2 linked regions of the Canis lupus familiaris genome follow. The protein of the gene in region 1 purifies or fractionates together with the protein of each later gene. This does not show direct contact. Links are inferred from orthologs where the notes say so. Each region holds a gene or a part of one and is shown on either strand. Other genes may lie near its edges. The genes, in order: DTX3 and RNF114.

What was found.
Region 2: the proteins of DTX3 (region 1) and RNF114 purify together in Homo sapiens (affinity purification with mass spectrometry; 3 studies listed by BioGRID and IntAct, counting the BioPlex papers as one, with this or other methods). This does not show direct contact. The link is inferred for Canis lupus familiaris from reciprocal best matches to the Homo sapiens genes DTX3 and RNF114.

The regions. Positions count from the first base shown.
Region 1 is NC_049231.1:2,030,925-2,042,461, forward strand, and holds DTX3 (probable E3 ubiquitin-protein ligase DTX3), read left to right. Parts: upstream 1-5,490; 5' UTR 5,491-5,619; intron 5,620-5,957; exon of another isoform or gene 5,958-6,181; intron 6,182-6,208; exon of another isoform or gene 6,209-6,788; 5' UTR 6,789-6,850; exon of another isoform or gene 6,851-7,009; intron 7,010-7,015; exon of another isoform or gene 7,016-7,044; 5' UTR 7,045-7,091; coding exon 7,092-7,120; exon of another isoform or gene 7,121-7,472; coding exon of another isoform or gene 7,473-7,491; coding exon 7,492-8,227; exon of another isoform or gene 8,228-9,147; coding exon 9,148-9,365; exon of another isoform or gene 9,366-9,718; coding exon 9,719-9,794; 3' UTR 9,795-10,428; downstream 10,429-11,537. Other genes in the region: PIP4K2C (phosphatidylinositol 5-phosphate 4-kinase type-2 gamma), read left to right, coding at 84-230, 414-452, 1,038-1,151, 1,506-1,773, 1,960-2,063, 2,258-2,338; ARHGEF25 (rho guanine nucleotide exchange factor 25), read left to right, coding at 10,826-10,924, 11,169-11,283. UniProt on the Homo sapiens protein: Regulator of Notch signaling, a signaling pathway involved in cell-cell communications that regulates a broad spectrum of cell-fate determinations.
Region 2 is NC_049245.1:37,088,395-37,099,224, forward strand, and holds the start of RNF114 (E3 ubiquitin-protein ligase RNF114), read left to right. Parts: upstream 1-348; 5' UTR 349-392; coding exon 393-532; intron 533-5,135; coding exon 5,136-5,286; intron 5,287-7,481; coding exon 7,482-7,588; intron 7,589-7,950; coding exon 7,951-8,065; intron 8,066-10,830. UniProt on the Homo sapiens protein: E3 ubiquitin-protein ligase that promotes the ubiquitination of various substrates. In turn, participates in the regulation of many biological processes including cell cycle, apoptosis, osteoclastogenesis as well as innate or adaptive immunity.

The sequences.
Region 1 (11,537 bases):
GGTGGTGTTTGAATTCCCATCCCTGGGCTGGTTGTGCATTTACTCCTCAGCTTCTCCCCATTCCTTCCTCCCTTCTACCCCAGTACATTGTGAAGTGCCATGGCAACACACTGCTGCCCCAGTTCCTGGGGATGTATCGAGTTAGCGTGGACAATGAAGACAGCTACGTGCTTGTGATGCGCAACATGTTTAGCCACCGTCTTCCTGTGCACAGGAAGTATGACCTCAAGGTAAGGAGAGGCTAGCTGAGGGAGAGGCTCCTGATAGCCTGAGAGTGGGGAAGGGCCTGGGAGGGCACTGAGATGGTTCATTTCAAAGGAAAGAAGACTGTGGGTGTGAATATTCCTCTTAGGAGCTGGATCCTAACTTCTTTTAGCCACTTCTGCTGACTTGGTCTTTGGGTCTCTCCACAGGGCTCCCTAGTGTCCCGAGAAGCCAGCGATAAGGAAAAGGTGATACTAATTTTAGGTGACAGGGTGAGGGATGAGGGAGGGCAGATAAAGGGATCTCCTTAGGATAGAGGTAGGGATCACCAGCTATTTCGTCTTATCTTAAACCACCAAAAAGAAGAGAGGTGTAAACTTGTGCTGATGCTGGGATTAAGTGTTTGGAATGGGCAGCAGGAGCAGCTGCTTTCTCACTGGCATGGGTTAGGCCATGTGGAAGGTGTGGCTATGGATAAAGACAAACTTTGAGAGCGAAATGCTTACTCTCTACCCCCCGCTCTGGGTTCTTGTATTCAGGTGGCTATTTTCTGCTTAAGAAGAATGAAAGGCGGTATGTGAGGTCTTGACTGGAAACCATAAGCAGACGGTAGTGGGATGTGATTTGGGGTACCGCTGCAGTGACTGAGTTTGGAGAAGCCACAAGAGCGGAGAACGGCCTCTGGGCAGCATGGCAGTGTGCAGTTAGAGGAGCTGTGAGATCTCTCTCCCCTCAAGGCCACTGAGTTACAGAGAGCCCTAGGAAGAGAGCATGGTTCTCTGAGACCTTGAGGGAAGGGCTGTATTCCCAAGATTCCCCTTACCTATTTTCAGGTTAAAGAATTGCCCACCCTTAAGGATATGGATTTTCTCAACAAGAACCAGAAGGTTTATATTGGTGAAGAGGAGAAGAAAGTATTTCTAGAGAAGCTAAAGAGAGATGTGGAGGTGATGATCGGGGTGCTTTGGGAAATGGCTGTTTCCTGTTGCTCCCCCCCGGGGCAGCTGTCTCTCCCGTTCCCTTTATTCTTTGGGTTTTCTGCATGTAGGGGAGTTGGGTATGGGACATAAAAAACCCTTAGAGGTGACCCATGGAGGGGATGGCTAGAATTGACTAAAAGGATGACCTCAGGTACCAGGACATTGATGTACTAAAGGGCAGTGGTATACTCCCAACCCTTGATTTTCATCCTTCCTTTCCCCAGGAGGGCCCCTGAAGCTCAGAGGGGAGGTATAAGGGTGGTGTGGTGCTGGGAGCAGGGAAGGAGATCTGAGGTATCTGATTTGTCAGTGGGGTCTCAGTTCCTAGTGCAGCTGAAGATCATGGACTACAGCCTTCTGCTGGGCATCCACGACATCGTTCGGGGCTCTGACCCAGAGGAGGAGGGACCTGTGCGGGAGGAGGAGTCAGAGGGGGATGGAGACTGTGACCTGACAGGGCCACCTGCTCTGGTGGGCTCCTATGGCACCTCCCCTGAGGGTATTGGCGGCTACATCCATTCTCACCGGCCCCTGGGCCCTGGAGAATTTGAGTCCCTCATTGACGTCTATGCCATCCGGAGTGCTGAGGGTGAGAGAAATCCTGGAAATATTAAGGGTGTTGGTGGTGGGGAGGGTTGGCCTTGGGGGAGTGAGGGGACTGAGACCAGCCAGGGTGGTGGGAGAGAGGCCAGTTAGCTTTTCAAAACAGATCTGACTGGTTCTTGGGAAGAGGGAATTGGGACTATACTTGCTCTTCCTCGCTTTCTTTCCCCAGGGGCCCCCCAGAAGGAGGTGTATTTCATGGGCCTCATTGACATCCTGACACAGTATGATGCCAAGAAGAAAGCAGCTCACGCAGCCAAAACTGTCAAGCACGGGGTGAGGGCTCCCCAAATCCTTTCCTATCTTTTGACTGGGAACAGAGGGAGCCTTTTGTACGGGAGCAATGGGGTGGCAAAAGGACGAAGGGCTGGGAAGGGCTGGGTGCGGAAGTGGTGTGGGGAGGACTGGAGGCTGCGGAGTGGGATGGGGTGGTGGGGTGCCTGACGCTGTGTTCCTACCTCCTCTCGCAGGCTGGGGCAGAGATCTCCACTGTCCATCCTGAGCAGTATGCTAAGCGGTTCCTGGATTTTATTACCAACATTTTTGCCTAAGAGACTACCAGACTCCGTGCTGCTTTATGTTCAAGGTGGCAGGGTTCCGAGAGGCTTGGGGAGCTGTGGATATGTTGACCACTACTACTTCTCTTCCTCTTTTGTTAAATTCCAGCTACAGGCTCCTTCTACCCACACAACTCCATCTTGTTGACTAGGCTTTTCCTGACCCTCAGAAATACACTGTCCTGTCCCCCCCTCCCCACCCGCCCACTTTTCTTCCATTTCTCCCTCCCTTCCAGCAATTCTGCTTGCTTCATTAGAGTGTTACTGTTGACTCACTCCCAAGTGCCTTGATCTTTGTAAATGTCCTGTTGTTTCTAGAACATAGGAGGAGATGGGGGAAGGGGATTACTTGCCATCTTCAGGAACTGACTGGACGGATGGACCTGGCTCAAGCAACTACTCTGGATGCATTTTGCTGTGTGGGATGAACTAAGAATGTCTGAATTTTGCTGATAACTTTATAGAACTCACTGTGGCATGCCTCCTTCCCGGTAGACCCTGGGATGGAGGACTTTTAAGATACTACAGGTGTGGGTGCTGGCATGCACACATATGATGGGTTATGGCCCATTTTACACACTAATGGGGTGGGGAGCGGCGAGCCAGCTGGTGCCTTACAGAGGTGGGACCCAGGAGGACTCTTGAAATTATTCAGGGAATTGGAAAAGGTGTCTGTCAAGAATTGACTACTACTCTCCAAACTCTTCCCTCACCCTACTTCCAACCCCTGCCCCTGTACTTCTGGGCACAAGAACCCAGAGATGGCCAAACCGTTCAAGCCTGGGTGAAGATGTTTGACTGCTGCTGCTCTTCACCAGGACCTTCCACACCTCCCAAGGCTGGAACCCTTCAGCGGGGGACGAGGGTGGGGGCAGTTTTGGAGGCTGGGATGATGGGCCAGGGTGTAAGGTTCACTCCCAATGCTAAATTTCCTTTCTTCACGTGTAGCCATCTCTGAGGTTTTATCCCCAGCAGGAGGAAATATCTCTACCTGGGTCCATCCTGGTCATTTCAAGAGGATGGAACGTCTCAAGTGCGGGAACCTCCTCTACTCCTTGGAGATGTGCACCTAGCATACTTCCTTCCCAACCCCTTCTCAAGCCCTTTTTCCAGTTGGATGTGTTATTCTGTTCTTTTCTGTCTTATACTGCTACTATGTCTCCCAGGGGACAGATGGACTTCTTTGTCATCTTCACTCTCCACCCCCAGAGAGGAGTCAGAGCCATAACTCAATCACTGGCCCCCTCCCAAGAGTTGAAATGACAAGTGGTAGTCTCAGAGTGTAGAGGACCCTGAGGGCCCAGATAGTGTCCTCCCCACCCCCTGATACCTTTGGGGCTAAGGCAGCCATTCTTGCTACCCTCCATCCCCTTTATGGCTTCTGCACTTTTTTAAAACATAAAGATGGGCACCTGCAACTGGCCTGTGGGGATGCAAAGATTCTTTGCTCTGTATCTAGCTGGACTGATCTGTCTCACAGGAAGTCATACAGTCATAAAGGAGAATTTCTCTCTCCCCTTCATCTTCTCCAAAGGAAGTAACAAGACGAGTCCACAGTTAAGAATTAGAGCCCCTATAATATCTTCCCATCAGGGGCCTGCTGATCTTTTTCATTCCAACCATCTACCTTCCCCTTTTGAATGCAATAAAACTCCATGACACCAGCAGCTGTTGCTCTTTAGAAATTGGTTTTCTGACCATGTGGCTGATGTATCATGAGCAGAATGGTCTTCGTTTTGTTGCTTCTGTTTTTCATCTTTTTTGTTTTATTAATTAATAAAGATCTTGTGTATTTACTCCCATCGCTGTCACTGTATAGGAAATAAATTATTGAATCCATATTCCTTCACAGACATGCCTCCTCCCCCCCTCTTTTCTGAGGAACCCTGTGCTTAGGGGTGCAGAGACCAGATGAAGAATTACCCATCTTTAAAATGTGGGGCCCCTAATTAAGGATGTGGGTTTCTAGTTAAAAGGTGGTGAGGGGTGTGCATGGCAATGGAAAACTTACTCTCCAGCTCTGTCAGAGTCCACGTATGGGGGGGCCAGGGAGAAGGGCTGATGGGGTGCTCCCTCTTCCCCCCCGGAGTTCTGGGCCTGATGACACAGTCACTCCTGTAAAGGTGAGTGAGCCTCAGAGCACGCTCCCTCACTTGTACTTGCTCACAGGAGCTAAAAGAAGAACGGGGTGTTCCCCCTAGGCTTCCTGGGAAAGATGTCCTGTTGTTTGGAGAGTAGGAAGAGTACAGCAGGGTCCTGGGAAAGTGGAGAAAGCGACCAGCCCTCCAGCCCAGGGAGGGAGTGAAGAGAGGGGTGGATAAATAGAGGCTGCTGCCAGCCTGGGAGATCCAGTGCTGTTTGGCTGAGGAGGCCTTTGGCTGGTGGAAAAACCTGGCTTGATGTGGCCCCAGGGAAGTGAGCTGGCCCGGGGGCGGAGAGCGCTCTGATGTGGGAAGCAGAGCAGAGCAGAGCAGAGCTGTTTGTTCTTGGAGCGTTTTTAACTCTACTTGTACCAGAGACTTCGCACCCCCACCCCCACCCTCACCCCCATCCCCATCCCCCCCAAGGCATTTTTTTGAGGCCTGTATTCCCTTCCCATTCTGCACTAGCCTCAGGATCCCTGTGGGTGGAAAGGAAAGTCGGAGGCGCTCACCCAGCCCCGCCTGCGGGCAGGTTGCGGGGGTCACAGAAGGTCACAACCTAGGAGAAGGCGAGCGCCCCGGGAAGGGATGGAAATAGTGTGGGCGTGGGGGTGGTTCTCCTCCTCCAGGACCAGGGCTTTCCTTACTGTGGCTCTGCCGGTCCTAGATTGTTCCTCGGCGCTTCTAGCAGCAGCAGGCGGATCACAGAGAACCGCCCCCCCCCCCCCCCCCCCCCGCGGAAGGCACCCGCAGCCCGCTGCAAGGGCCGAGGGCGGGCAGCGACCCAGGCCGCACCGGGCTCCGCGCCCCCGCCCCCCCCGCGGAAGGCGCCCCGCCGCGAGGGCCGAGGGGGGCCCGGGAGGGGAGCGGACCCAGGCCGCGCCCGCCCCCGCGCCCCCGCCCCCGCCCCCGCGCCCCTCCCCGCCGCGGCCCGCGCTCCGCCCCCGCCCCGTCCCGTCCCCGTCCCGGGGCGCAGCGCCCGCCCCCCGCCGCCCCGGGGCCGCCCTCGCGCCGGCCCGCACCCTCGGCGGAGCCCCCCGCCCCCCGGGCCGCCCCCCCTTGTTGCTAAGGCCCCGACCGTCATCCCGGCAACAGCCTCAGTCATGTGACCGGCAATGGCGGCGCTGACGGGAGGTAGGTGAGCCCGGCGCCCCACACCCCCGCGCCCGCGCCCGCGCCCCCCGCCCGCCCCCCGCCGGCCCCGCGCCCCCCGCGCCGCGGCCCGCACCCGGGCTGGCGGGCGGCGCCCCCGCGGCAGGCTCCCCGCCCGCGGGCCCCGACCGGGCGACAGGCCGACGCGGGCCTGCTTCCGCGCCTCGCGGGTCCGGGCCGCCGCCGAGCAGCCCGCGCCCCCGCCCGCGCCCGCGCCCGCGCCCCCCGCCCCCCGCCCCGCGGGGTCGCGGCCCAGCGCCCGCCCCGCCCGCCCCGCCCGCCCCCGCTCCCGAGCCGGCGGGACCGAGCCAGGACCCCGAGGTCCCGGGCCCCGCGGCCTTGGATGCGCAGGACGAGCGGAGGTTCCGGGGCCGCAGCCTCACCCTCTGGGCCTCGAGGTGCCTCTGGCCCGGAGGGGACTGGGATGGAGCCGCACAGCCGCTCCCCTTGGGGTCAGTCCAGGAGTTGAGGCCACACTGGCGGCCCCTCTTCTATTTGAGCCACCTTTGGAGGCGTTGTAGGGACAGCTCTGTAGCCGCACCCGGTAAGACTCGGGGGAGCCCCGGCTCCTCCAGCCGAGCCCCGCGGAGCCGCACCCTCCCGCCTGCAGACCCGGTCGCTGCCGGCCTTACTGCTCCAGGCGCGGGGTTACAAAGGCGACAGCAAGAACCTCGTTACTTAGGGGCTGTTGCCACTTTGCCCGCCTCCAAACAGACTTCCGCAGAAGGGACCCTGGGCTGGCCCGCAAGGAAGGCTCCCTAGCGACGGGGGCTGAATTGTGGGGGGACGTGGGGCAGGGTGAGGACTTGGGGAGCGTAGGAAAGCTTCTCACCCGTGTGATCCGAGGCAGGTGGCAAGAAAGACCTCCGTGGGGGGGGGGGGGGCTTTTCCCTTCCTGACTTCTCTCATCTGCGCCCTAGGCCTTCTTGAGAGCCTCAGAGCTGGGGAGGAGAAGAGGAAAGTTAGCTTGCTGAAGTTCCATCTTTAGCAACTTGGGAGAGGCTGGGGATGCAGCTCTGCAGGAGAGAAGGAGAGGAAATGGAAGAGGAGTTTTTGTTTTGTTTCTGGGCTGCTGGCGGAGTGGGGGTGAGGGGGGCCGGTCACCTTTGTCATCATAACCCTTTCCTTTCTACTCTCCCCGCTCCCCCCAGTCCTAGTCAGCTGAGTGTGGCAATAGAGGGATTTCTACTGCTCCCGTCCATGGGCTTTCCAGGTATCTGCCTCCCAAGGGGAACTCAGCTTTCGCCTTTAAATTGGTTTCCTCCATTCCATGTGCCAAGTAATCCCATTCCCAGTAACTTACACCCGGGTTCCCAGTCTTCTGTTACCTGGGCTGCTGGGTTGGAGCATGAGGAAAGTGGGTAGGGGGGTATCTCACCTTCCCTTCTTTTCCCTTCCACCCACCAGGTCCCACAGCTGACAAGTAGGAAGCAGGGACAGTGGAGCGAGCCTGCATGCCAATTCTAAGCTGTTCAGGATCAAAGTGAGCAAAAAAGTCTCCCTCCCCTTTAAAGAAGCTGGTCCCCCCCCCCCCAGAGGGAGGAGGGCCAGATTGTTTCTGTGATCTTGGGAGGAGTGGAAACAGAACCAAGACTGCTGCTTGGCCCAGACGATGATAATAATAAAGTCATAGAAACTTTCTTGCTCTTTAGTGGGTGCTAGGATTTGAAAGATAAGAGCTCTGAGACAGAAAATCAGCTGGGGTGGCTAGGAGTCAGGGGTTGGACTGTGGGACAGTAGAGGTGATAAAGGGCCTGAAAGCAACCTGAGGTAGTAGGCACGGATTTTGTCAAATGGGGACCCCCCACCCTGAGTCCCTTTCACCCTGGGGGCAGTGTCGTTCGTCCTGTCCAGAATGGCAGCCTGTGGAGGCACCTGCAAGAATAAAGTGACTGTCTCCAAGCCTGTGTGGGACTTCCTGAGCAAGGAGACCCCAGCCCGGCTGGCCCGGCTTCGGGAGGAGCACCGCGTGTCCATCCTCATCGATGGCGAAACTTCTGACATCTACGTCCTGCAGCTATCCCCGCAGGGTCCTCCCCCGGCACCCCCCAACGGGCTCTACCTGGCCCGGAAGGCGCTCAAGGGGCTGCTAAAAGAGGCCGAGAAAGAGCTGAAAAAAGCTCAGAGGCAGGGCGAGCTTATGGGCTGCCTGGCTTTGGGGGGTGGCGGGGAGCACCCTGAGCTGCACCGCCCAGGGCCACCCCCTCCCCCTCTGCGAGCAGCCCCGCTCCTGCCCCCAGGGGCTCGGGGGCTTCCCCCTCCTCCTCCTCCCCTCCCCCCTCCACTTCCTCCCCGCCTTCGGGAGGAGGCTGAGGAGCAGGAGAGCACCTGCCCCATCTGTCTGGGGGAGATCCAGAACGCCAAGACCTTGGAGAAGTGCCGGCACTCGTTCTGTGAGGGCTGCATCACCCGGGCCCTGCAGGTGAAAAAGGCTTGTCCCATGTGTGGCCGCTTCTATGGGCAGCTGGTGGGCAACCAGCCCCAGAATGGGCGCATGCTGGTCTCTAAGGACGCCACGCTCCTACTGCCCAGCTATGAGAAGTATGGCACCATTGTCATCCAGTACGTCTTCCCGCCCGGTGTCCAGGGGGTAAGAAGACCTGCCGTGCCCTTCGGTTTTCCCCAAGCGTGTTCTCTGACCTAGGAAACCTGGGTGAAGGGGAGTGTGTTTGTTAGATGTGATGTAGTCTTGCCGCCTCCCAGCATGCCTTCGCACCCGGTGCCCTGGAGCTAGCTGGTCCCCCCACCTTCAGGCCCAGCTTTTCTAGCCCACGACTCCACGGCACATATGAAACTCAGGTAGGAGAGAAAGGCTCTTGCCTCGGTGAACTTGGATGGATGACGACAGCTATTCTTGGCAGAGGTGAATTCTGTGGAGAAGGTGGCTCAGGTGCAGGCAGGCCTAGCGGGAAGGGATCTGACCCTCTTCACAGAGCAGTGAGTGCTGCTTTGTTCCAGACTGCTGAGAGGAAAATCTTGTTGACAGTGGGAGGTTAAACCAGGAGTGGTCGAGAGCCTCTAGGTGTCTCCTGCTTGACCATGCAAGGGTAATTTCCAGGCCTGGTTTGCAGAGGGCTGAGGAAGCTCTGAAGGAGAGTAATGGGAAAGTGGCCCGGGCTAGGCAGGCTTAGAAGCGCTGGGAGTGTTTTCAGGTGGAGAGGGGAAGACAGAGAGAGATTATTCTCAGTCTTCACATTTCTGCTGACTTATCTGGTGGGTGAGGACGAGCGAGCGGCTTGCCATCACTTTTGAGAATCCATTTGTTGCTGAACTGAGACTTGAGAGATTGAGGCAGCAGAAGGAACTTCCTTAGTAGTAAGGATTTTGTCCAAAAATGGGCTCCTGCTGTCCAAACCTTTCAAGGAAGTCTCTCCCTCCTTGAAAGGCTGTCGGCCCGTTGCTGCCCCATCAGCATTAGGCGGCCAGTGGACCAGGATGACCCTCGGTTGGCATCACGGGCCTTCACGTGCCCAGCTGCTCACTGTCCTCTCTGCTTCCCCTTCGTCCCAGGCTGAACACCCAAACCCAGGAGTTCGGTACCCTGGCACCACACGGGTGGCCTACCTCCCGGACTGCCCCGAGGGCAACAAGGTGCTGACCCTGTTCCGCAAGGCATTTGACCAGCGTCTCACCTTCACTATCGGCACGTCCATGACCACAGGGAGACCGAATGTCATCACCTGGAACGACATTCACCACAAGACCAGCTGCACAGGAGGACCCCAGCTGTGCGACCCTCCTTCATTTCCTTTCCCTCCCTTGGCTCCTCCCCTTCTCTCTATTTTCACTCCAGGGAATGACAGCAACCCCCTCTCTCCTAGAGCCTCCTAACTAGAGAGGACCACCCCCAAACTATCCCAGCCATCTCTTCCATCCCAGCGTCTCTACATTCCACCTGGCCCAATATGCCCAGCTTAACCTACAGAAATAAGCAGAAGTGGGCTAAGTTATCTCAGGATTGGCTATGCTCAGGGGAAGTGGGGAGCGGCTGGAACTGGGCCCCCAGAATGAGGGAGAGCATGAGGCTAAGATGAGTCAGCTGGAATGGCTAATCCTGACCTTCGTCTCTCTTTGCTCCCAGGTTTGGGTACCCGGACCCCACCTACCTGACCCGGGTGCAAGAGGAGCTGAGAGCCAAGGGTATCACAGACGACTGAAGGACTTCCCCTCTGCCAAGCCCTTGCCTTTCTCCATAGGACCCAGCGGAAGCCTCTGTTCTCTCTCCCTCTGCCCCCCCCACACCACACAAACAGGGGACCAGTCTGACTGGGGAAGGAGTTCAGAGAGGGAGGGGGCAATCCCTTCCCCTGTCCCCTCCCCCAGGCCAAGTGCTTCTGTGCAGTGAGAGCCGCTCCCTTCTGGGAGGGGGATCTCCCAGGCTCTGCTCCCCACCTCCCCATGTACATACTCCCAGTCTCCCTACCCCCTCCTTTGCCCTTGGCTTTTTCTGGTATGTGCTGTGCTCCAGTGACTAAGCTGAGAAAGGACCTGGGTGGGGAGGGAAGGTCTCTCGAGCCCCCTGCTCTACTGCTGAGCTTCGGCATGGGGGAGGGGCAGTGGGGCTGAGGTGAGCCCCCCCATCCCCCGGAGCCGGCCCTGTGTGTTTCTCAGAACCAGTCCCCCTTCCACCTTAACGGGTCCTTTCTCTCCTGTGTCTCTGTCTCCGTCAGTCCGTCAGTCCGTCTCCTGCTCTTCTCTGCCCCCTATAAGGAGCCTCCTTACCCTGTTCTGGAATCGCCGCCAGACTGTAGCTTTTAATTTAATAAAAATAAAGTAAAATATGCAACTCTCTCTGCCACACCCGTTCTGTTCTGTGGCCCCGGGTGGGGGTGGGGTGGGGAGCGGAACCCGCTGAGAAGGGGAAGGGGTGGTGATCGGGTAAATCCCCGCGCGTCTCCCCAGTCCCGGCCTCCAGAGAGCCTGGGACACGGCAAGTGCTCAGTGGGCTCCCGACGCATCCACGTCGGAATCGGGACTACGGGGGGGTTGGCTCGTCGTGGAACTTGGGTTGTGGTAGAGAAAGGAACAACCCTACCCCTTTGAGAAGTTTGGCTGGGGTGGGAGTGGGGGCGGAGCCGGGCAGGGGGCGGATTCCACAGCTGCAACTCCCCGGACGCACGCAGGCCGAGAGCCCCCCAGCTTCCGTGCCCCCTCGGCCCTGAAACTTGGAGCAGGGTAGGGGTCCAGCATGAAGCCCCCGGACCGCCCCGCCCCTGGCCGCACGGACCGGATCCTGGGGGTCATGGGGGGCATGCTGCGCGCATGCGCCCTCCCAGGGCCGGAGGGGGTAAGAAAGGGGACCACGGTGGAGTCGGGAACCTTTAGGGGGCCTCAGGAGGTCTGCACCCCACAGCTCAGTTTACCCGGTCGCCGCACCCCGGGAGTTCGGGGCCTGGGTCTGGGCGAACGGCTCCCTGCAGCCCGGCCTAGGCGACCCTTTTACAACAATGTGGATTTGACAGGAGGAGGGCGACGCGGGAGGTCGAGGCCGGGTGCGGAGGGAGGTTCCCTACCACCAGTCTTGCCCACAGCCCCCGAGCAGAGGCCCCCTAGGGCCGGGAGGGACCGAGACAGAGTCGGACTGTCCCGAGGGTGATCAGAAGGGGGAGCGCCAGCGTGGGGTCCCCGCCTGGGCGCCGCTGCCCGGTAAGAAGCTGGGGGCGGGGTGGGGCCCAGCTACCGCCCTGCGCCCAATTCAAGTAATGCCGCCCTTGCTCGCGTGAAGGTTTGCATCCAAACTGCGCGGGACCCATCTAAGTGCCGAGCGCTCCACGCTTCTCGCCCCCTAGTCCTGTGTGGCCCCCACATCACCCGATCCCGCGGCTGTGTCCCCGCGCCCCACCCCTGGCCCCCCGCCAGCCCGGCCGCCGGGACTTCGCCTTAATTGGTGATTAGCCTCA
Region 2 (10,830 bases), on another chromosome or scaffold:
TTAAAAAAAAAAAAAAAAAAAAAAAAAAAAAATAAATTGAGGAAACAGCAGTTGAAACACAAAGCCTGTTCCAATTCTGCAGGTGTCTGGATCTGACTTCCACATTTTCCAGATTTCCCGCGGCCTCGCGCCCCCCCCCTCCCTCCCTCCCGTCCGTCGGGGGTGGTGAGGGGGAGGGGCAGGGGGCGTGGCCCGCCCACAAGCCCCTCCCCAGCCGCGCGTCCTTTCCATAAGCCCCGCCCCGAGCGTCCCTCGCCGCGCAAGGTCCCGCCTTAGCCCCGCCCCGGCGGGCGCAAGCCCCGCCCCGAGCGCGCGCCAGCCCGCGGCCTCGGCCCCACCCCCTCGGGCTCCTCCTTCTCGGCCGCCGTTGCGCCGCTCGGCGCGGCAGCAAGATGGCGGCGCAACAGCAGGAGCGTGAGGGTTGTGCGCAACGGGCTGGGCCCGCAGCGGAGTCCGACCCGCTGGGCCGCTTCACGTGTCCCGTGTGCTTAGAAGTGTACGAGAAGCCCGTGCAAGTGCCCTGCGGTCACGTGTAAGCGGCGAGCCAGGGCCTGGTCGGAGGTGGGGGGTGAGGTGGGGGAGACCTGAATGGGGAGGGGCGCGGCCCGGGCGGGGAGGGTCTCGGAGCGGAAGCGCGAAAGCGCGAAAGCGCGAGGACCGGGCCAGAGGGGCCTCTTCCTGGGGCCCAACGGGGCTCCTGAAGGCGCGTGGAAGTCGGCGGGGCGCTTCTCGGTCCTGCTCGCTTCCAAGTAGCGCGTCGTCTGGTGAGCGCCTCCTGTGAGGGGGCCTGTGAGACTCCTCACCCGCGATAGTGGAAGTCGCACCCTGTCGGGGATCAGGTGGGGCGCCTGGCTCGCTCCTTCAGGTAGAGCATGTGACTCGGTTCTGGAGGTCGTCATTTCGGGCCCCGCTTTGGGCGTGGAGTTCACTCGAAAAATATAAAATCGGCCCTCGGAGAGCCACCGTTGCCCTTGAAAGCCTGAGCGTTGCTTCCGAAGTACATGGTACGTATATGGCGCCAGGTGTCCAGTTCTGCCAAGTAATTCGAATGTGCACTGAAGTTGGAAAAACGCCGAAAACTAGACTAAAAGAACAAAAGGGAAGTCTTGATGGTAGAATCTCACCAGGCTGCCATCAACGGAAAGGGGTTGGGAGTCACAGATAGCGATTGTTAGCATTCCTGCTTGTGTCCGAGGTTTGCTGCGTTTTGTTTGAAATTAAGCCTCCCTGGCCCGCATGCCGCTAATACGCTGGTCACAACGGCTGAAGGGGATGTGTGTGAAAATTGCCAATACAGACCCTCGGCTGGGGTAGGTGCTCGAGGTTGTTGGGATTTTTTTTTTTTTTTTAAAGCTTTTATTTATTCACGAGAGACACAGGCAGAGGGAGAAGCAGGCTCCATGCAGGGAGCCCGACGTGGGACTCCATCCCTGGTCTCCAGGATCACGCCCTGGGCCGAAGGCAAGGCGCTCAACCGCTGCGCCACTCAGGCGCCCCCTTGGGATTTGAATCTAAGCCTTGCTCCATCAGACACGCCAACACCTCAGTTGAGAGGACTGTAGAAAATGTGGTCACTTCTTGCCACTGGGGGGGTTGGCATTTCCTCAGTGGTCTCCTGCAGTGCTTATTATCTTCAGCATCACCTTGGCATTGGTTTTAGGACACCTTTACTGGAGAGTAGACAAGATAGGCACCTGCTGGGCCTCACAGGTATTCTTACTCCTACAGCAGTACTGCAGGGAAAGAGGGTTGGCAGCCATATGGCAGGTGAGGGAACTGAGGCTCACATAGGTCAGGCTCACTATTGTCTAACTCTTCCCACATGAACTGCAGGTGTCTCCTTGCCAGCCCAGAGAATAATTTGGCACCTGGCAAGGGCTCCCCAGCCACAGAGTGCTTTTTGCTTCTTCAGGTACTCTTAAGCTTTTTCTAGTTTTGGGCTGTTCCCACTTGGAGTTCAGGTAGCCTGGAACTCTTCCTGCTCACCTGCATCTCCCCTGCCAGCTACCCCAAATCCTTTCCAGACTTTAAGTCCCAGTTTAACTTAACCTCCCTTATCACTATCCCTACTCGAATTACTTCCCTGCTTCACTCCTGGGGTTTCCTTCTTCCTTGCATAAAGCCAGACTTAGGGATCATGAGGGGCAGTGATCCTATCTGTGTTGCCCCTCTCTGTATCCCCATTGCCCAGCAGTGTCTGAGCATCCATCTTCCAATCTTATATTCAACTGACTAAAGTATTTGTGTGCTTACCATGTGCCAGTGTCTTGGCACAGTAAGAAACAAGATGATTCTGCCCTCAAAGTGTACAAGCCAGTGAAGTGATAATTAGACTAACAAATGTTCAGACTACTGGGAAAATTCAGTGTGGAATGGAGGGTCATAGGGATCAAACTGGTTTGTGGGGGAGAGATCAGGTAATGGATGAATGAACTAAGAAATTGGTGGTGGAAACAAATTTCATGAGCATTAAAGTGAAGGCTAGACAGTGTTTTTATTGAGTCCTTTTTTCTTGGGATCAGCCCCTCACTGCTTTTACCTGATTTTGTGTTAATTCACTGGATTTCATTCACAATAGTTATAAAGAGGCTTGACTCAGCACAGTTTACCAACTGAAGAGCAGCAAAAGTTGAAGTTTCCTTGAGCCACGTGAACCTTCCCTAGGTCAGAGGTCAAGGGGCAGTACTGGGTTTCAAAACTTGGTTCCTTTCTGCACTCACCGCACTAGTTTCACGTGTTCATCAATTTTGATGCTGATTGAAGACAGAAGAATACAGCTCTGTGAAGGGAGCACAAATCTCCCTTAGCTCCAGCCAAGTGCTTTTTGCTCAGGCTAGTTAGTGGCAGATTTTTGCTAACTTTTATGCTTAGAAACCAGCATCGTAACTTTGGCTGGCTGGGGTGTTGAGTTTTTATAAAACTTTATTTTAAGCCCTGAATGACTGTGTCCCTCCAGTTTAGCAGAATATAGCTGGAGAGGGGTAGGTGTTGGGAGCCCAAGAGAAGGAACTCTTTACACAGCACTGTAGCAGAAAGGATGGAGCACCTAAAAGGCTCAATTGTATTAAGGCCTATGAAATAGGAAAGGGAAACTGAAAGCCAGCCCAAGATACAGGCACTTTTTAAAACCAGGCTTGCATGTTGGGGATGACTGGAGCACAAAGTGACTCGTGAACATTTGGTCAATGAATTGTCCTGGTGTGTGCTTGAAGCTGCTTTTTTCTACCAGCTGGGATTGGTTTCTCTGGACCCTCTGCTCTCTTGGGTTCTTCTTGTGATCTGCCTTTGAGAATAGTTAAGTCAAATGATGGCCACAAGCCTGTCTACCTGTCCAGCCTAATCACTTAACATCTTCCAGTGGTCTTCATATCATGGTCCCAAAGGCCTCCTTTCTGCTTTTTGGAAATCCCTTTGTACTTGGTATATCCTCTCTTTGTGGAACTTTTTGTGTCCAAGTTCGTGTGACTGTCTCCTCGGAGTTTTAGGTCTTAGCTCAAATATTGCCTCCTTAAAGAAGCTCAGTATGATCCACCTTGGCTGATCTCTTTGCCTTGTTTTATTTCCTTCCTATACTTTTTAAAAAATATTTTATTTTATTTATTCATGACAGAGAGAGGGAGGCGGAGACACATGGAGAGGGAGAAGCAAGCTCCACGCAGGGAGCCCGACAGGGAGCCCGACGACGTGGGACTCGATCCCTGGTCTCCAGGATCACACCCCAGGCTGAAGGTGGCGCCAAACCGCTGGGCCATCAGGGCTGCCCTATTTCCTTCCTATACTTAAATCACTATCAGAAACTAACTTTTTTTTTTTCCCCTCCACTTTGGAATACAAGCATTAGGAAGACAGGGATTTTGTTTCTTTCTCAACTTTGCTCTCAGTGGTAAATCATTAGGGCCCCTCAATTTCTCCCAGCCTGTTTTATTTTGTGTGGCAGTGTTAACATCTAGCTTTATCACAAAGAGGAAGAAAATACTTAGATATGGTAAAAATTTGTCAGATGGCATAGGTTACCTTTGATTATACATCCTGAGTTCTTCCTGGCAAGTTTTGTTATCTTGCCTTAAATCCCAGGTCAGGTATGTAGCCAGGCTGTTTCCATCCCTTTATTGTCCTTTCTTTCTGTATACCTTATCTCAGCATCACTCCCTGCATAGGTTTCAGGATAGAAACTTGGCCTTTTTTGACTTTCCTTCTCCAAATTTAGTAAGTTCCCAAGTATTACTGACTCCATTCTGAATCATTTCCTGAGTTAATTCTCTGTTGCCTCAGGCCCTTAGAATTCCTTGCCTTTAAAAAAAAAAAAAAAAAAAGAATTCCTTGCCTTAGCCAATCTGTTTGGTTTCTACTTCAAGGCTCCTGTCTTTTCTCACCTAAAAATATTTTTTGAAAACCAACAACTCTCTTGTCCATGATAACCTCAGCTATTTTTCTAAAACTTGGATTTGGCCTTGTTGATATCTTTAAACATCTGGGTTCCTACCATTCATGAGGAAAGATGTTAGACTTTTATTTCCTTAGGTGCGTCATGAATTTTTAAGTCTAAGTGCCTGGAATGCTTTTACCTTCCTCTGCCAGCTGAGCTCTTTTAAGGCTGTTTTGTGAATGCTGCTTCTGAAGTCCTACCAGCACTGTCCTTCTTGGGTCACAACTAGGTGGTCTTATCTCTGTCTTCTCATAGTGTTTTACATTCACCTCTGATGATATAGCACCTCCTATTTGTGGTGCATTTCATATGTGTTTAACACTGTACTGAGGGGCTGCTAAACATACTCCATTCCAGTAATCCCAGAGGTGGCTACTACTGTCTCCATTTCACAGAGGAGAAACTGAGATTCAGGAAACCCCACCAAGATCCCTCAGTGGCAGGTGCTAAGGTTTGAGGACTGTGCCACAAAACCTTTTCACTGTGTATCATGATAGTTTGTGTTTGTTTCTGTTGTTGGACCTGTGTGTTCTTTGCAGGACACTCCCCCATCCCCTTCCTGGCACGGGAAGACTCAGTATTTGAATCAGGAACAGGGAGCAATATGTTTATAATCCATTATTCATTGATGTCTTTTTAAAAGTTTATCCATTTTTGTTGTCTTGTCTCCACAATGCATGACGCAGGTTCTCTGTATGTCTTGTTCTAGCTTTTGCTCTGCATGCCTGCAGGAATGTCTGAAGCCGAAGAAGCCTGTCTGTGGGGTGTGTCGCAGCGCTCTGGCACCTGGCGTCCGAGCCGCGGAGCTCGAGCGGCAGATTGAGAGCACAGAGACTTCTTGCCATGGCTGCCGTAAAAATGTATGTGGAAGTAAAATGGAAGAGTCAGTGTCTTTCTGCAATGAGAGGGGGTAAAACGCAGAGCTGTTGCCACGTTGTTCCTGAAGTTAGAGCATGACTAGGTGACTTACAGCACGTGTGCATGCTAGTTATCTGTGGCAATGGCTGTGCCGGTTCATCTTAGTGACCTTATTGGTTTTGCTTTGTTCTTTTAACAGTTGGTTTAGTGTATTATATCTTGTAGCTTTGAAAACCATAGAAGTCCATTATCCTAGTTTTTTCCCTATAAAAGAGCCACTTTTCCAAAGCAGTATGTGTAATTTCCATTAGAATGTAATGACAGAATGCTATTTCTTAATTTTTTTAAGTGTAAAATAAGATAAACATCTCGAAGTTACCTGCTGCAAAAACAAAAACAAAAAAAAAAAAAAGGAAGTCACCTGCTGCAGTGAGCTAGAGGGGAAATTTTACAATCTTTATCATTATAGATATAAAAAATATTTGAATTTTTTAGTACTTGACAGGGAGGAATCATGACATAAAGATTAGGATGAAATTATGTGATTGTAAAAACAATACCTAACATTCGAAATGCACCCGTGCTTTTTTGTATAATCATGCTAGAATCAAGTGTATTTCAACATCTATTATAATTATAAAGGAGAAAAACTACAATCTCGTTTTCCAAGCTATACACACACACAGTCTTACAGGTTTCAAAATTATGATTCTGTTCATTTCAGACCGTAAAGCATATGAAATACTGTAGGCTTGTTTCCCACTCCAGAGATTACCTGTTTAAAAGTGATTGGGTTTAGAAGGCTGCAAAATATTTTCTGCCCTTTGACAAACACAGATGTAGGAATTTTACAAAATAGGAGCATACTCTAGTTCTAGAGCTTTTTCTCACTTTTGAAAAATTTTTTTCACTTAATGACTTACTAGACAACCTGTCCGTTTCATTACTAACATATTAGTATGGATGGCCATAGAATGGATATACTTTACCTTCTTTCTTTCAGAGTGATTTAGCACTAGGGCTGCAGAGTGACTATCATTCTGAATAGGGCTGTTTCCTATCCCTTTTAATTGGGAGCTCTTTGGTTGGCAGCTTGAAGTCAAGTTCTTTAGCTAGAGGTAAGACAGAAGGGAGCATTATGGTAAGCTGGAGCTCAAATAATGAAGCTTTCTTTTTTTTTCTTGTGGTTTCCTTTCATTTTGAAACTCAGGATATTGAAATGAAATTACCCGTTACTTTATCCTTGTACTACATGCATGATGGATTTTTTTGTTTTATTCTGTATACTTTTGATTTTTCTCCATTTTTAAAGATTAGTTATTATATTGTATTATATTTCCAGGTGTACTACTATACCTCCAAAAATGTCTTATCTTCCCTTTACCTCTTCTCTTTCTTCATTCCTTATACTTTTCCTTTGCTTTTAGAACACCTGCGATGAAGCACTCTCCTCTAGGTTTTCTTTCTCTTTCCATCTTGCAAGGACTAGATTTTATAGGGGAAATGGAATTCAGATTTCAGTTTTTTTTTAAGATCATTTATCACAATGTGGCATTCTGTAACTTTAATTAGAATTACTGGTGTTTATCTCTTTTATTTAAATGATTACTTTTTTTTTTTTTTTTTTTTACTGCTGCACATAATGAAATGTGTTCTTGGCTTACTATGAGGAGCTAGTTTATTTTTAAAAATTTTTTTTAAAGATTTTATTTATTCATTCATGAGAGAAAGAGAGAGAGAGAGAGGCAGAGACACAGGCAGAGGGAGAAGCAGGCTCCATGCAGGGAGCCCAACCTGGGACTCCATCCTGGGTCTCCAGGATCACACCCTGGGCTGAAGGCGGTGCTAAACCGCTAAGCCACCCGGACTGCCTAGAGGAGCAAGTTAGAATGCTGTGTGGAAAACTTTTAAACCTTCACTGCATTTGGAGTATGTGAGCAGAGAGCATACCTTGAATAAAAGCAAACCTCTAGGAGAGTTATTTTAGAGTGGAAGCAGATGTCCTGGGTTGGTTAAATAAGATTATCAGCCTTGGTATTAACAAAAAGCCTGCAACAAACTTGCTTTCAGCCCTGTCAGCATAGCCAGGAGTCTGGTGAGATTGTTTGCCAGAGTGGTTCAGGTCTGGTTTTCATTTTGACCTTGCTTTGGGACTGTGTTGGTACTGACTAACTTGTGGGCTCTGATTCTTCCTAAGTTCTTCCTATCCAAGATCCGGGCCCATGTGGCTACCTGTTCCAAATACCAGAATTACATCATGGAAGGTGTGAAGGCCACCACCAAGGATGCCTCCCTTCAGCCAAGGTAAATGACTCAAACACTCCTTTAGGTGGAGGTCATCTTTGCTATGAAGACAGTGGACACTTTGCATGTTGAAGGGTTTAGTTGTAGGAGTTTGGGGAAGTAGAGGTATAATTGTTATTCTGGCTACAGCTGATGTCAGTTTTTGTGTTAGGGGTGGGGTGGGGTGGGGGGTTGTGTGGAGGACTCTGATGCTCACTTCAAGTATTAGCTCTATTATTTTCAACATTTGATCTCATTCTGAAGTGATTGTCAGAATCCCTGTCATAACACATTGCACTTTGCTCCTTTTTTGGGGGAGTACAGTAGTCGAAATGTGGAAAAGTACTCAGGTTTCTTCTGTTTTCCTGCCTTTCATCTTCCAGGAATGTCCCCAATCGCTACACCTTTCCTTGCCCTTACTGTCCTGAGAAGAACTTTGATCAGGAAGGACTAGTGGAGCACTGCAAGTTATGCCACAGCACGGACACCAAGTCTGTGGTAAGATGACCTGGACTTTGTAAATTTTCTTTTATATACACTGATCTCCTGTGTATCCTTCACCTGGATTCACAGATGATAACATTTTACCATATTTGCTTCATGATACTCTATATGTACATATTTTTTGCAGTGATAAGTTGCAGTGATAAATTGCAGGTACTATGACTTTTTGCTCCTGTATACTTCAGCATGTATCTCCTAAGAGCAAGAACATTTTCTTAAAAAATCATGTAAAAAAAAAATCTTATTTTTTGTGTTTGTCACACTCAGGAAGTGTAACATTGACAGAATCTAATATTTAATACAGAATACGTGTTTAAATTTTAACAATTTTAGGGGGTGCCTGGCTGGCTCAGTCAGTATAGAATGTGACTCCTAATCTTGGACTCCTAATCGTGAGTTTGAGCCCTGCATTGGTCATAGAGATTACTTAAAAAAAAAAAAAAAGGGGGGGGGGCGTGGAATACCTTGAAATTTTAATATTGGAATATCCTTCATTGCAATATCTTCCCCCCAAATCCTGGATCTTTGTGTTATATGTAGTTGTCATGTCTCTATACCTCGGCCTTTCTTTTGTTTTTCTTTTCTTTTTTTTTTTTTTTTTAAATTTATGATAGTCACAGAGAGAGAGAATGAGAGAGGCAGAGACACAGGCAGAGGGAGAAGCAGGCTCCATGCACCGGGAGCCTGACGTGGGATTCGATCCTGGGTCTCCAGGATCGTGCCCTGGGCCAAAGGCAGGTGCCAAACCGCTGCGCCACCCAGGGATCCCTCCCTCGGCCTTTCTTCGCCATTCATTACTTTAACATAAAGAGGACAGGCCAGTTGTTTTGTCAGATGTCCTTCAATTTGGGTGTGTCTGATTCTTCATCATTAGAGGTGGAGAAGTTCCATGAGCGATGTGTGCTCCGGGTGCCACATCAGGGGTCATGGGATGTCTGTTGCCCCTGTCATTGGTTATGTTAACTTGGATCCCTTGGTGTCCACAAAGTTTGTCCTCTGCAAAGCTACCATTTCCCTAGTTTGTCTGTAGTTGTGGGGAAAGAGAATGTATGAAATGATTAAGAAAGTGCTTATCAGTCTTCTCAGTTTAAGTATCAAGACTGGCATGTGGTTTTGTTTTAATGTGGTCTATGTCTGCAGTATTACCCTTTCCTCTTTTTTTTTTTTTTTTTTTTCCCCAAGTAAGCCCTATGTTCATCATAGGGCTTAAACTGAACAACCCCAAGATCAAGAGTCACACACACCACTGACTAAGCCAGCCAGGCGCCCCCTTCCCTCTTAATGTCATTGACAGGCTAGATCTTGATACAACCTCCTCCATAGTTTTCAGTTTTTCCATTTATTTTAGGCTGCTCTCTTGACTGTATACCTAGATTTATAGGCAAACGTCAGCTCCCTTGGCTTAAAAGGTGGTGCATAGACTTTAGTATTTGCATGAGCTTTTGTTAATTGGATTAGGTCTGGTGGCATTCTTTATTTTTCTTTTGCTGCAAATTTTAAGATACAGGTGGCCTGTTTGAGAATACCCTAGATCTTCTCTTGACTTTATTGAACTCCTTACCAAGCCCACATTCCGGTTAATACAGCCACTTTTTACACTGAGCTCCCTGAGCTCTTACTGTTGTGCTGTGACAGATTTGACAGATAAATTCCCTCTGGTTTGCTTTTCCCAACTCCTCTCACTGGGGAACTTGGCCAGTTTAGCTCATTGTGGGTCATTTTCAGCCAGGCCCTATTGCTGCTAGGCACACACACTCTCTGATGGCTGTTCTGAGCACTGTTTGCATTAAATTCGGAGCATGAACTGTTCTCAACCTTTCCACAGGTAACACTAAATCCTGCTTTTAACTTACTTCGGAATATCAGGTGTGAATTCCTTTCTTCCTCCTTCTGTCTCCATTGCTCTCTGATCTACCTCTGAGGTTACAGACTGGCAGTCTGTGGGATACATCTGACCTGTACACATTTTAACTTCCTTTTTAATCTTTAAAAATCCGAAGATTTCTCAGTCTTGATGCTCTACATTTGAGAAACTGGGAGTTCAGGCAAGAGCCAGCTGGCCTAGAGTAGTTGCTGCCCACCTAGATGGGATGGGTTTATACTCATTCTCCTTTGCTCTTGTGTCTTACTAATCTGGTCACTGTGAGCACTTGAATTTGCAGCCCTTCTTCCTTGTCCTTATCATTCCATTTTGTACTCAGGAGAAGGATGCTTTCCAAGTCTGACTCTTACGTGTGTCCTCAGACCCATAGAGAGGACTGAACTTAGGGCCTAGCACAAAGTAAGACTTCCCTGCTCCTGTGGCTTGCCCTATCCTGTGTCTTCACTCCTCTCACCTCAGCTTTGCCCTCTACCGATGCCTCGCCCTTGTTTTCCTTAGATATGCCCATCTTCCCTGGCTCCTTAGTGGGAGGAATATTCAATCTGTGCTCTCTAGTGTTTAGTTGATCTTTTCCCTCAAGCTTGTCATTTTCCAGCTGCTGCTGCTGTCTCTTCAAACCCTTTATTCCCTCCAGATTCAGCTTCCACCCCTGATGACATCATGTTCTCCATGGTCCCAGCTGGCTTCTTGAGTCCTTGCTTTCTGAACCATTGCAATTTTTTTTTTTTTTTTTAGATTTTATTTATTTATTCATGAGAGACACAGGGGGAGAAAGAGGCAGAGACATAGAGGGAGAAGCAGGCTCCATGCAGGGAGCCTGATAGCGGGACTCGATCCCAGGTACTCCGGGATCACACCCTGAGCCTAAGGCAGGCAC